3 linked regions of the Lonchura striata genome follow. The protein of the gene in region 1 interacts with the protein of each later gene in a biochemical or structural test. Links are inferred from orthologs where the notes say so. Each region holds a gene or a part of one and is shown in the gene's direction. Other genes may lie near its edges.

Region 1 (3,745 bases):
TGAAATTCCCCCAGGGATATCTCCAGTGTCTCAGTGTATCATACTGATCAGCACTTTGGCTCTTTCATATCCTTTCTAGTTTGTTTTCTCAAGTACATTATCTGGTTGTACTAAACATTACATGTGTGCAGTACCAGACATTATCAGGTTGACAAAGACAATAAGGCAACCCCACCACAGCTGGGTTTCATAGATATGACTACAAGTGGATGTGGGAATCCATGAGGTTACTGAGCTGAGGTTTTCAGAGCAACAGGAGGAATAAAAGAATATAAACAAACACATCTAATTTTAATTCAAGATCCAGCAGTATGTGTACTATTGATACAACTCCAGCATACCTCTCACACTTGTAACAGGGAGAGGTATCGGAGAAAGTGCTAGAGGCACAAAGTCATTTTCCAAGGTCTCACTGAAAGCCACAGGATGACAGGACATAGTCTTAAACTGTGCCGGGGGAGGTTTAGGCTGGGCATTAAGAGGAGCTTCTCCACAGCAAGGGTGATTAAACATTGGAATGGGCTGCCCAGGGTGGTGGCGGAGTCACCATCCCTGGAAGTGTTTAAGGATAAAGAGTGGACATGGCACTCCGTGCTCTGGTCCGGTGGACGTGGTGATGTCCGGTCACAGGCTGGACTCGGTGATCTCCGAGAACTTTTCCAGCCTGGCTGATGCTGTGACTCCGCGGGCAGAGCTCGGGCGGGGACTGCAGGCGGGGACAGGGGGCTGCGGCGGGGACAGGGGGCTGCAGGCAGGGACAGGGGGCTGCGGCGGGGACAAGGGGCTGCAGCTGGGACAAGGGGCTGCAGGCAGGGACAGGGGGCTGCAGCGGGGAGAGGGGGCTGCAGCAGGGATAAGGGGCTGCAGGCAGGGACAGGGGCTGCAGGCAGGGACAGGGGCTGCAGGCAGGGACAGGGGCTGCAGGCAGGGACAGGGTGCCGCAGCGGGGAGCGGGGCTGCAGCTGGGACAAGGGGCTGCAGCGAGGAGAGGGGGCTGCAGGCAGGGACAGGGGGCTGCAGCTGGGATAAGGGGCTGCAGCTGGGACAAGGGGCTGCAGCTGGGATAAGGGGCTGCAGCTGGGACAAGGGGCTGCAGGCAGGGACAGGGGTCTGCAGCAGGGAGCGGGGCTGCAGCGGGGACAGGGTGCCGCAGCGGGGAGCGGGGCTGCAGGCAGGGACAGGGGGCCGCAGCGGGGAGCGGGGCCCCTCGGCTCGGCGCCGCTCCGATCCCGTCCCGCTGCCGCGGCCGTTCCCGCCCGCCCGGCCGGGGGGCGGAGCGCTCCTTCCCCGTGACCCGCGGCTCCTCCTCCTCCCCTCCCCGCTCCTCAGTGCCGACGAGTAACCTGGATTCCCGGCCCTCCTCCTCCTCCCTCTTTTTTTTTTTCTTTTTTTTTTTTTTTTTTTTTTTTTTTCCTCCTCTCCCCTTTTCTTTTCCTCCCCCCTCCCCTTCCTCCTCCTCCTCCCCTTCCCCCGACAGCGTAACCGGGGCTCGGGCTCGCTCCCTCCCCCGTGCCCTCCCCTGGAGCCGCCGCCGCCTCCGCCGCCGCACACACGGAGACATGTACCCGGGAGCCCCCTCCGCCGGACCCGGTGAGCTTTCGCCCGGGTTTGTTTCCCCCCGGAGCGGCTTTCCCGGTCCGTGTCCCTGGGGAGCCCCGGGAGCGCCTCGCTCCCCCCGGCTCGGGCCTGGCTGGAGCGGCGGCCGCGCTGGCCGGGGAGGAAGGAGGGTCAGGGCGCCGCCGCCGCCTCGGGCCGGGCCGCGTGTCCGGAGGCGCCTCTGAGGGGAGGGTCGCCTTCCCTGCCCCGCTCCCCCTCCCTCCGCCGGGCCCCGAGGCCGGAGCAGCTCCCGCTGCGGACCGGGGTCTCCATTTCCTCTCTCCCGGCTCCATGCTGGGATTCCCGGCTGGCCGCGTGTTCCTCGGAGGCCGCGCTGCGATAGTTGTGCTCTGGAGGTCGGGGAGCGTCCGCATGCCGGGAGGGCTGGGGGAGGCGAGGGGCAGCGTGAGGTGTCCTCAGGCTCGCTCTGCGTGGGAGCAAAGGAAAGGTGGACGTGCAAAGCAGGGTTAGCAACTCTCGGGGAGAGTTTAGTATCGCTTTGGGGAAATGCAGGTTAATACTGTGCGAGTTTGTGCAGTTCGTATGAGACAATGTTTTCTCCTTTTTAGTGTTAGGTTGTTTCTGCGGTGAGAATTCTTATGTAGAAACAATAGTGTTTGGGTGACTGGCACCTAGTTTTCTTGTAGAAAAGTTGCAGAATAAATGGAACTTTATTTTATCCCACTGTTCTCAATTGTTTTGCAAAACATTTCTTCCGTTAGAGGGATAATCTAGCAAGGACTGGTGTAGGGAAGTACAGGACCTGTAACTGAGATGTCTTTTAGTGTTTCTCTTACAGACGCTTTGGTAAAAGCATTTATATTTTGGGATCCACTGTTAGGTGCTGGCTTTTTTTTTTTTCTTTTTTTCCTCTGACTTGGTTCTCCTGAAGGGGCAATAATTAGGAAAGACAATCAGGATGATTATTTTCCTCTTGAAGTAGAGATCCTCCGTTTTTACTTTCTCACCGGGCACAGCAGGCAGACAGGTCTCTACAGCTCTGTGTCCCCAGACTGGTGTTCACGATCTTGCTTTCATGTGTAACATCAATTGCACATTTCACATTTCAGTACCGATAACTGTAGAACTACAGGTGTAATCCTTTGGTGGTTTCTGGTGTCGGGTTCCCTTGCTCAGGCACAGGTACACTTTCAGTTTACAGGTGCTCATGGTGCCTCAACATCGGGCTGATGCTATGTTCACCTCGTGGTGATCTTGTTTGAAAATGTGCTTAAGGAGACAGGTAATTAAAAATATTACCAGCACATGGGCTGAGAGTAGTTTCATGTGTGGGAGTCTCTTTATCTTTATTTACTCTCTATTCGATCCTACCACTTTCCCTTTCACTTGGAATGTTCTCCCAGCTGGTGGCTGCTGTTTGCCGTCAGGGATGCACGTTTGGTGTGAAGGAATGTTTTCACCTTCTTGGAACAACAACGTCTTAACCTCGGGCTGCTGACTCGGCTGTACTTTCACCAAGTTCTAGGTGGCTGTGGGTTGTCACCGGTGTGTGTCTCGGGCTCCTGCTGTTCTGCTGCCTCCAGCCGAGCTCATCTTGTGTCTTGTTTACTTCCGAGTTTATCAGCGTGGCTCAGCCCTTTCCCCGTGTCTGTGCCGGGGTGGGAGCTGCGAGTTGTTCTCCACATGGTGAGCGAGGCTCTGCTTCCTTCCTGTGAAATCATCCACGGACAGCCTCAGCAGCTCAGTGGCTTCTGGCAGCCCAGGCAGCTTCCTGCTCCACTCCACACACAAGGCAGGGCATCCTGGAGATTTTTATTAGAGCGTGGCTGTTCTGTGAACCAGCCTGGAAGCAGGGACTGTGAAGTCCCCTGCCACATGTTAATCTGAGAACTACAAACCCACTGTGTGTGAAATCCTGCTCGGAGGAGAGAGCACAAGTGTGGTTTACAACCCCTCACCGAGCCAGAGCTGCTGTGAACACAGCAGAGGGCTGCAGCCTCTCCAGGTCTGTCAGCACATCCTTGACACCAGGGAAAGGCTCCATTCATCTCTGCTCTGTCCGGATCCCCTGCCGGAGCCGCTGATGCGCAGGAGCGGCTTTGCTCTCCCAGCTCCCTGTCCAAACTGGGCTCTGCAGCGAGACCGTCGGAGGGTGCCTCTGGTGCTGGCCTCCTGCCAGAGGAACCGC
Region 2 (3,745 bases), on another chromosome or scaffold:
GGGTGTGACACGGGGTCAGAAGACATCGCGGCTGGTACCGACAGCAGGGAACAACAGAGGTCACCATTGTCGCACAGGATGGAACCTCTTCAGAGCCCATTTTAGACCCTGGAGCTGAAATGCCTGGTTTCCACCAGTGTGATTGGACAGTTCTGTAGCAGGAACAAAGACAATTCTTTGTGACAAAGTGATCTTTAATGACAGTTTTCCTCTTTTCTAACCCAAACAGAATCTTTCTTTAATCTTAGTCAATGTAAAAAACCAGAAAAGCCTCCACTCATCCCTAATTTTTTTAAAAAGGGAGATCGATGTCTCTATTTTCTTGTTGTCTAACAACAGTTACCCCATAAAGTAAATATCAGTATTTATAGTACTAAAGATATGGGGAATGCTGTTACTTGGTACATTGTTACTTATTCTTTTCCAGATTTTAATAGTTGGGTAGTGTGTCCTTTTCATCCCACAGCCTGTTTGCTTTGTTTTTATGGTTGGTTGTGTGGTTTTTGTACCAAACTCTGAATGCCAACCAGTTTGAAGTATGTGGAGATTTCAGTTGCATCTCACACTGATGAGATCATCTCACTTTAAAAATGTTTGTAAGGAATTTGTGAAATCAACATAAAAGTACATTTTTAATTTGGGGTTAAACTCTGAAGGTTAGGTCTAATTACACAAATATATGACATCAAATATCTTTTTCTTATAATAGAGAGAGGGTAGTGGGGACAAGATTGTAAGGAACAGCACAGATTGTATCCTGTGCTTTTAAATCAAAAACTCCTGTCAGCAGGCAGGCTCAAAGAGGAATGAGCTGTGGAGAAAGACACCCAATTTTATAAGAAAATAACTTCCAGAATTCTCCTGGCATTTGTCTATTTTGTTTTCTAAGTATTCTGCTTGCTTTCTCTTTGAACCTACTTGAAATGGATAAATTTCATTCTTTAACCATGGTCTGCACTAAGGAGGGTTTCTTTCTGCTCTATTTTATGTTAGAAGGAATCAAGAATGCCAATTTCCTTCATTACTTCAGCTAAAATTGGAAAAATAGACCCATATGCTCTGACAGTTCCCACTGGATAAGACTGAACAGCTGCTCTTCTTCCTCAGCTTTTGTCATGGGATATAATTATTCTTCCATCCATAAAAAAACAGAAGGATGCCCTTTCAATCCTATAAAAATACCCAGTACTGTAACACTTAACAACATAATGGCAGGCATTACAGAAGTTCTGTTCTAAACAGCAGCAGAGGTTTGTGCCAAGAAAATACTTAATTTGATAATATCCCAGGCCTCTAGATCACTTTGAATCTGAAGTAATTTTATTCAGGTTGTTTTAAATGGATCTTAGGAGTGCTCCAGTCAGCTTTATCTTTTTCATACTGATTTTGCAGGCACACTGTGTTACCATGGCAAGTCCCCGGTAGAGAGCAGACAGAAGGAGGAAGCAGGATGTCCAGCAAACAGATCTTCCATTGAAAACAGACTGCCTTCCACTCAGCTTACAAGGGCAGTGGCTGGCCAGAAGTGGCATGGCATTTATGGTCATCTTTATCAGGCACCAAGGCCGATCACCATCCAGTCCTTGTGCAAGCAGGTGAGATCGCAGGAGACTCTCACTCCGTCCTCTGGCCTAAAACAAATGTAACTCATTCACCTCTGGCTGAAGGGTTTTGGTGGTGACAAAACCTTACCCTACACCAACTGTTTAATTCCAGACATTTCAGGGCACTTCTATAAACATTTAGCAGTTAACATCTACCAGATCAATGGAGTGTTGCCAAAGTACTGGAGTGAGACCAGTGCTCCAGCCAGGCAACAATCTGCCTCATGCAGTGACAGAAGGAGATGCTGCCTTGGGAGTCCACAAAACCCATCTACCTTCAGCTGTCCCTTCTTCTTCCACCTTCTGGGCCCTGCACCAGAAAAGACTAAAGGCTCCCCAGTGGAAAAGTAGAGCCTTGCCTTTGGCAGGAAAGTGACTTCTTACAGAAATGGCCAGCTGTGCGTGGAAAGGTGGGACATTTGGCATTGTCAAAAGGGATCACCTTTTTCCCCTGCGATAGAACAAGCCCATCCCCTCAGCTCCGTGCCTCCATCACCAGTCACTGCACAACGCGCAGCGGCACAAGGAGCGAGGCCGGGCGCTCGCCCCTTCCCAAGATGGCGGGCGCCGCCCCCGCCTCAGCGCCTCGGCGCGCCCCCGCCCCAGCGCGCGAGACCCGCCCGCCGCGCGGCGGGGGAGGGGAGCGAGGGAGCGCGCGCGCACGTGAGCGCCCCGAGGCTCTCCGGCAGGCGCTGTGTCCCGCCGTGCCATTGGCCGCCTCGCGAACCTTTCACCTTTTACCCGGCTGCGGCCGCCAATCGCCGGCCTCCTCTCATAGCGTGGGGGGATGCAGAGCGTGCGGACTGCGCAGGGCGGAATTCTCGGAGCGGGGTTGCGCCGCGGGCGCTGGGCAGCCCCCGTTGGTACGGGCGGGAGGGGCGGGGGCGGCGCTCCGTTTGCGTAGCGCCGACCGTAGCTCAGGGGCAAGGGAGGGAGGGGGAGGCCGTCCCGGGCCCAGGTGAATGGAGGGACCTGACAGCTGCGGGGACTGAGGCGGCGGCGGCGGCGGGGAAATGGCGGCGGCGGGAGCACAATGAGACGCGGCCTGTAGTAGGGGGAAGCGCCGGGCTGGGTCCGGTCCGAGCAGGTAGGAGATGGCGCGCCGGGAGCTGCATGGCGGCCGAGCGCGGGTGTGTCGCGCCCGCTGGCCGCAGCTCCCGTGGTCCCGGCGCCTCGGCCAGAGGGGAGGGATGGCGGCAGCCTTCCCTCCCTCCGTCCCTCCCGGGGCCCGGGCGGTGCTGCCCCGCCTCCGCCCCAGCGGCCTCCTGGGCCCCGCGGTCGGCCTGGGCCGCTGCCCCGGCGGGGCCCGCACGGCCGGGCCGCGGCCCCGCTCGGCTTTGTCTGCGAGCGGCGCCTCCCGGGGGCTCCGGGCCCCCGGCCCTGTCAGGGAAGGCAGTAAAGGAGTTGAAACTCAGCACTGCTGATGGTAAAGGCGATATAAGAATGTCTTGGTTCTTCTTTGCTTCCTTTCCATCCTTTTCCAGGGCAAATTAAGGCAGCGTGATTAAAGGCAGACCTTTTACTGTGTGAACGTGTGTTGAAAAGTGAAAGGTTGAAAGACATACATTTTTGCACAGGGCTTTTTTGTTGTATTAGGTAATATAGATGTAGCTCGCATGAGTAGAAAATGGGGGACGATACTGATATCTGACCAAAAAAATAAAAAGGTATTTTTTGTGTGCATTATGCTTAACCAGAAATTAGTGTTCAGTAAAAGTGAGTCTCAAAGTGAATAGTGAATCTCAGTTAACTGCTAACAGTCTGAAGGATGTTTGGCACTTCAGACCCTTCAGACCAGCTTTGAGTATTTTTGATGTTGAGATTTTGGTCTTCAAGTTAGGTGGTTGGCTCAAGTGGTGAAAGTGTGTATGTTGGAAGTATGTCTTCAGTTTTCTTTCCCTTAACGTGGTAATGAAAACAGTTAACTTTGCAGACACTCAGTTTGCCCTGTGTTTTATGTGTTTTCTTTAAGCCACTCTGGATGTTCTGTTGAAATGCTGACTGCATGTGCATGTTCTGTAGGTGGGGGTGGTGCTTGTTTTAGCAAGTTCATACAGACACTAACTGCAAGTAATTTCATAACTATTTTCCCGAGTTCCTTTCTTAAGAGAGTCTTTCTTATTGTCTATTTCCACACTGTG
Region 3 (3,745 bases), on another chromosome or scaffold:
TGCTCCTCCCAGTGATTTCTCAACGCTCCTCTGGCCCTGCTCTTCCACTCTGCTAATCCTTTGTGCCATGCAGGTCCTGCTTATGTACCTCCCATTGTGTCCTTCCCATTCTGCGATCCAGCAGCGCTGGCCCACACGTGCTCTGCAGCCCAGGGCTGAGGCTGCTCATCCCGGCTTTCACTCCACCTCCCGGGGAAGCGTCCCGGGCCCGCTCCTGCCTCAGCCTCGCACCGACCCCCCCACACACACCCCGCAGTTTCTGACTCTGTCCACCCCACGAATAATGGAGACCAGCGCGTGTTTGTAACGATTACATTTAGTAATGACGCCGTGGTCACCCTAAATGCCTTTTCCACAAGTGCTCCCGGTCGCGGGCCCCCGTCACGTGCGCGGCTGCTCGGGCCACGTGGGATGCGGCAGGCACGCGCCGTCACCCCGCCCACCGTGCTCCTTCCACGGAGATTGGCAGTGGAAGCAACCAATCATAGGCAGGCTCTGCATTCCCCCACCCCCAGCCCACGGTTGCTGTGTCATCCGGCGGGTGACATGGGGGGGTGGTCGTCGGTTGGCTGCGCAGGCGTCGGCTATCGGCCAATGCATGACGCGAGCTGCATGACTGACACCTATCCTGCCCAATAGCTGTCGCGCGGGGGCGGGACGAAGCGGAGATGTCGCTGGGGGCGGCGGGCAGTGTGGCGTTGGTGCCGTGTCGCGGCGCCGCTGAGCAGCTGCAGCCGCAGCCGTACGCGCTATCGCCTGTGGCCGTCACGGCGCCCCGCACATGAGTGCACAAACTGACGAAACCTCGCCTCGGCTGAGGAGGGTTCCAGCGACAGCCGCGGAGCGCGGCTCGGTGGGCGGGTCTTCGAGCCGTTACGGTGTAACGGGCACATTACTTCTCTGCTGGAGTCGGAGCGTGCGAGCCACAACCCAATCCGTAGGGCGGAAGGGCGGGACAAGTAGAAGCGGGCGAGCGAGTGCCCCATTTAAGGGGCAAATCTCGCAGCTAACTGGCAGAGGAAGAAGGGGCGGGAGCCAGTGAGAGATGTGAAGGGGGGCAACGCTAACCACTGACAGCCAGCAAATGCAGCCAATCAGTGAGCGTGTAGTGACGCGAGAACCCAATCAAAAGGGCCCGGGGGCGTTGCTCCTCTGTGATTGATGTGCGTCCTGGCTAATGGACGGAGAGATTCCCGAGACTCTTCCCAATGGGCAGCGTGAAGGGGCGGAAAGGGGAGCGGAAGGAGAAGACGAGCGGGTAGAACGACCAATCAGCGTGGGGGTCGGCGGGGCGCCGTCCAATGGGCGGTGCGAGGGGCGGTTCGGGGGCGTGTCCCGGTGTGTTTGGGTTCGTGCTCCTCGGGGGAGGGAGAGACGGCGGCGAGGAAAGTTTGGTTTTGGTTTTTTTTTTTCCCCCCCCGGTGGTGTTTTTTCGGCGGCGCCGGCGGAGCGGGGGGGGGTACGCTTTTCGCAGCTTCTTCGCCTTTTGCTTCCTGGGGTCCGTGTTTCCCGGGCGGGTGGAGCCGCCCCCGGCACTGAGAAGAACGGGGGCTCAGCGCACCGCGGCGGCGCCTCGGCGGTGAGTACGGGACGGGCGCCCCACCTCTTCCTCATCCCAGCTCCCGCCGTGGGACTCCCTGCGAGCCCTTCCCGCCCTGCGGACCCTCGCGCCGCCGCTGAGGGGCCTCTGGCGCCGGGCCGCGGTGCCGCGGGGCGGGGGAGGGACGGGGGGGCCGGGCCGGCGGGAGGGGCCCCGAGCGGCGGCGGCTCAAGGGCGCTGCCCCGGCGGCGGCGGAGCGGCCGCTGCTCCCGCCCCGAGCCCGCCGAGCGCCTGTCCCGGGGCGCAGCCGGGCGAGCGCTGCCCCCTCCTCGCCTCACGTGCGGCCGCTGTTCGCCGCGGCTGCGCCCCGGTGTCCCCCACCGCCCCCTCCTGCTCCGCACTGGGCCCCGGGGAAGAGCCGCCCTCCCGCCGGATCGCCCAGGCCGGGCAGGACGGAAACACTCCGAGGAGCCCTTGTGTGGATGGGGAATAAAAGTGCTTTAGTGTGGGGACGGAGCTGAGGTTGCGTTGGTACCGCTGCAAACCGCGCTGGATGAGTGGAACGTGATGCTGACTAAAATGTGTGTGTGTCTGTGTGCGTGTATGTGTGATGGTGGGTGGGAAGAGTGACCGTGTTCAGAGGTGTGTCCTTGAGGGGGAAAAAGTTTCCCCAGCTGTTTGTAGCAAAATGAGGGAATGTTTGTTTCTGGAGACACTTCGCTGCCTGTGGATAAGCGCTGCTTGCAGCGTGGTATCTTGAAAGCTCAGATCCGCTTTATGAAAGTGTATGTAGGAGGGATCTACTACAGCATACAGCTGAGGCTTGTTGAATAAACCGAAGACTCCACAAAGTGTTTTCCTAGCTAAAGTAGAGATGCTTACTAATGTAAACAGTACTTGTTTTTCCATGGTAACGTTTCACTAACTTCATGAACATTTATTAAAATACCTCTTTGTAAAGTTAACTTTTTTTTTTTTGTTTTTACAATCCATTAATTACTATTTTTAAATCATGATTTGCTGTAGTTCAGTTTACAACCGCTGCAAAAGGTACGACGTTGTCGCTGACGTCAACAAACGTTGTCACGTTTACAACCTCTACAAAAAATGTGACTTTTTGTGCAAAATAGTGGGTCGTTCTTTGGGGGGTTTACAGCTCTGTATTTGAAAGGTCTGTTTCTAGTGTTTTCTAGTAATATCGCTGTCCATATGAGTGGATTTTGGAAATTAGTTCCTGCTACAAATGTTGTAGAGGTGATAACTTAGGTTTATAGGGTTATTAAATATGTGCACAAGTTCAAGCAGCTGTGTAGTTAGCTTGTCCACAGTGAAATTGCTCAGCAATGCCCTCCTCTCCTGTGGTGACTCTCTAAGGGTGCAGATTCCTTGGAATGCGCGCTGTTGAAATGTGAGTGAATGCTCTCATCTGCTGCATTACCCAAGGCCCCGAGCTAAAAGTTCCAGTTTTTCTTCAGAAACCGTGGATAGTGCACGGTCTGCTGGGTCGATGTATCTCGGGGGAGGGGTTTGCAGGAGTGACTTTTCACCTGAGTTTTGCTGAGTTGCAGATGTAACTAGACAATTCCTCAGCGAAGAAATCGCCCTGCAAAAAGTTGGGGCTGGAGATGGGGGAAGGGAGCCCAGAGAGATGTTAGCTGTGTGTTAGATTTTCACCTGTGGGGTTTTGGGGCAGTAAGACACAGGCACATCTGTCTTGGTAGAGAGTAGGTGAAGTCATCATTAGACATTTATCTTGTTTAGCTATACTGCATTTGTGCTGATGGGCAAAATGTTTTTGGGATACTTACAGGGAATCACGTAAATCCTGTAATATGGAAGTACTGGTAAAAATGTAACGATAAACCAGTCAGTGTCTTCTTGATTAGGTAGACTTTTGAATTAATGCACTATTCCAGTTTCTGTATACCTGCAAATTTAGCTAGAGATCTACACTTTCATTTAAATAATAAGTTCAAACATTTGAACATAGAAGTCTTGAAAAAGCTTAATGTGCCAGAGTTTGTGTGATTGACTAGTCCAATAAAACATTTAGGTTGAGTGTGTGTCATGGCTTTGCTTGGTGATGCTTATTTCATCGTTAAAACTTGATGTTGGAGGAAGCTTTAGGAGAGAATTTTGTGTAGCTCTGAGGTATTGTATTTTACCTTAGATCTGCCTCCTATAATAGCAAGTAAGAAATTAGAA

Evidence for each region.
Region 2: the proteins of AGO2 (region 1) and DICER1 form a complex in vitro, tested with the Homo sapiens proteins (2 studies listed by BioGRID and IntAct). The link is inferred for Lonchura striata from reciprocal best matches to the Homo sapiens genes AGO2 and DICER1.
Region 3: the proteins of AGO2 (region 1) and TNRC6B form a complex in vitro, tested with the Homo sapiens proteins (3 studies listed by BioGRID and IntAct, with this or other methods). The link is inferred for Lonchura striata from reciprocal best matches to the Homo sapiens genes AGO2 and TNRC6B.

What each region holds. Positions count from the first base shown.
Region 1 is NC_134603.1:5,035,973-5,039,717, forward strand, and holds the start of AGO2 (protein argonaute-2), read left to right. Parts: upstream 1-1,414; 5' UTR 1,415-1,559; coding exon 1,560-1,590; intron 1,591-3,745.
Region 2 is NC_134608.1:14,772,457-14,776,201, forward strand, and holds the start of DICER1 (endoribonuclease Dicer), read left to right. Parts: upstream 1-1,369; 5' UTR 1,370-1,595; exon of another isoform or gene 1,596-1,631; intron 1,632-2,338; exon of another isoform or gene 2,339-2,467; intron 2,468-2,514; exon of another isoform or gene 2,515-2,691; intron 2,692-3,745. UniProt on the Homo sapiens protein: Double-stranded RNA (dsRNA) endoribonuclease playing a central role in short dsRNA-mediated post-transcriptional gene silencing.
Region 3 is NC_134607.1:24,509,576-24,513,320, forward strand, and holds the start of TNRC6B (trinucleotide repeat-containing gene 6B protein), read left to right. Parts: upstream 1-1,338; 5' UTR 1,339-1,579; intron 1,580-3,745.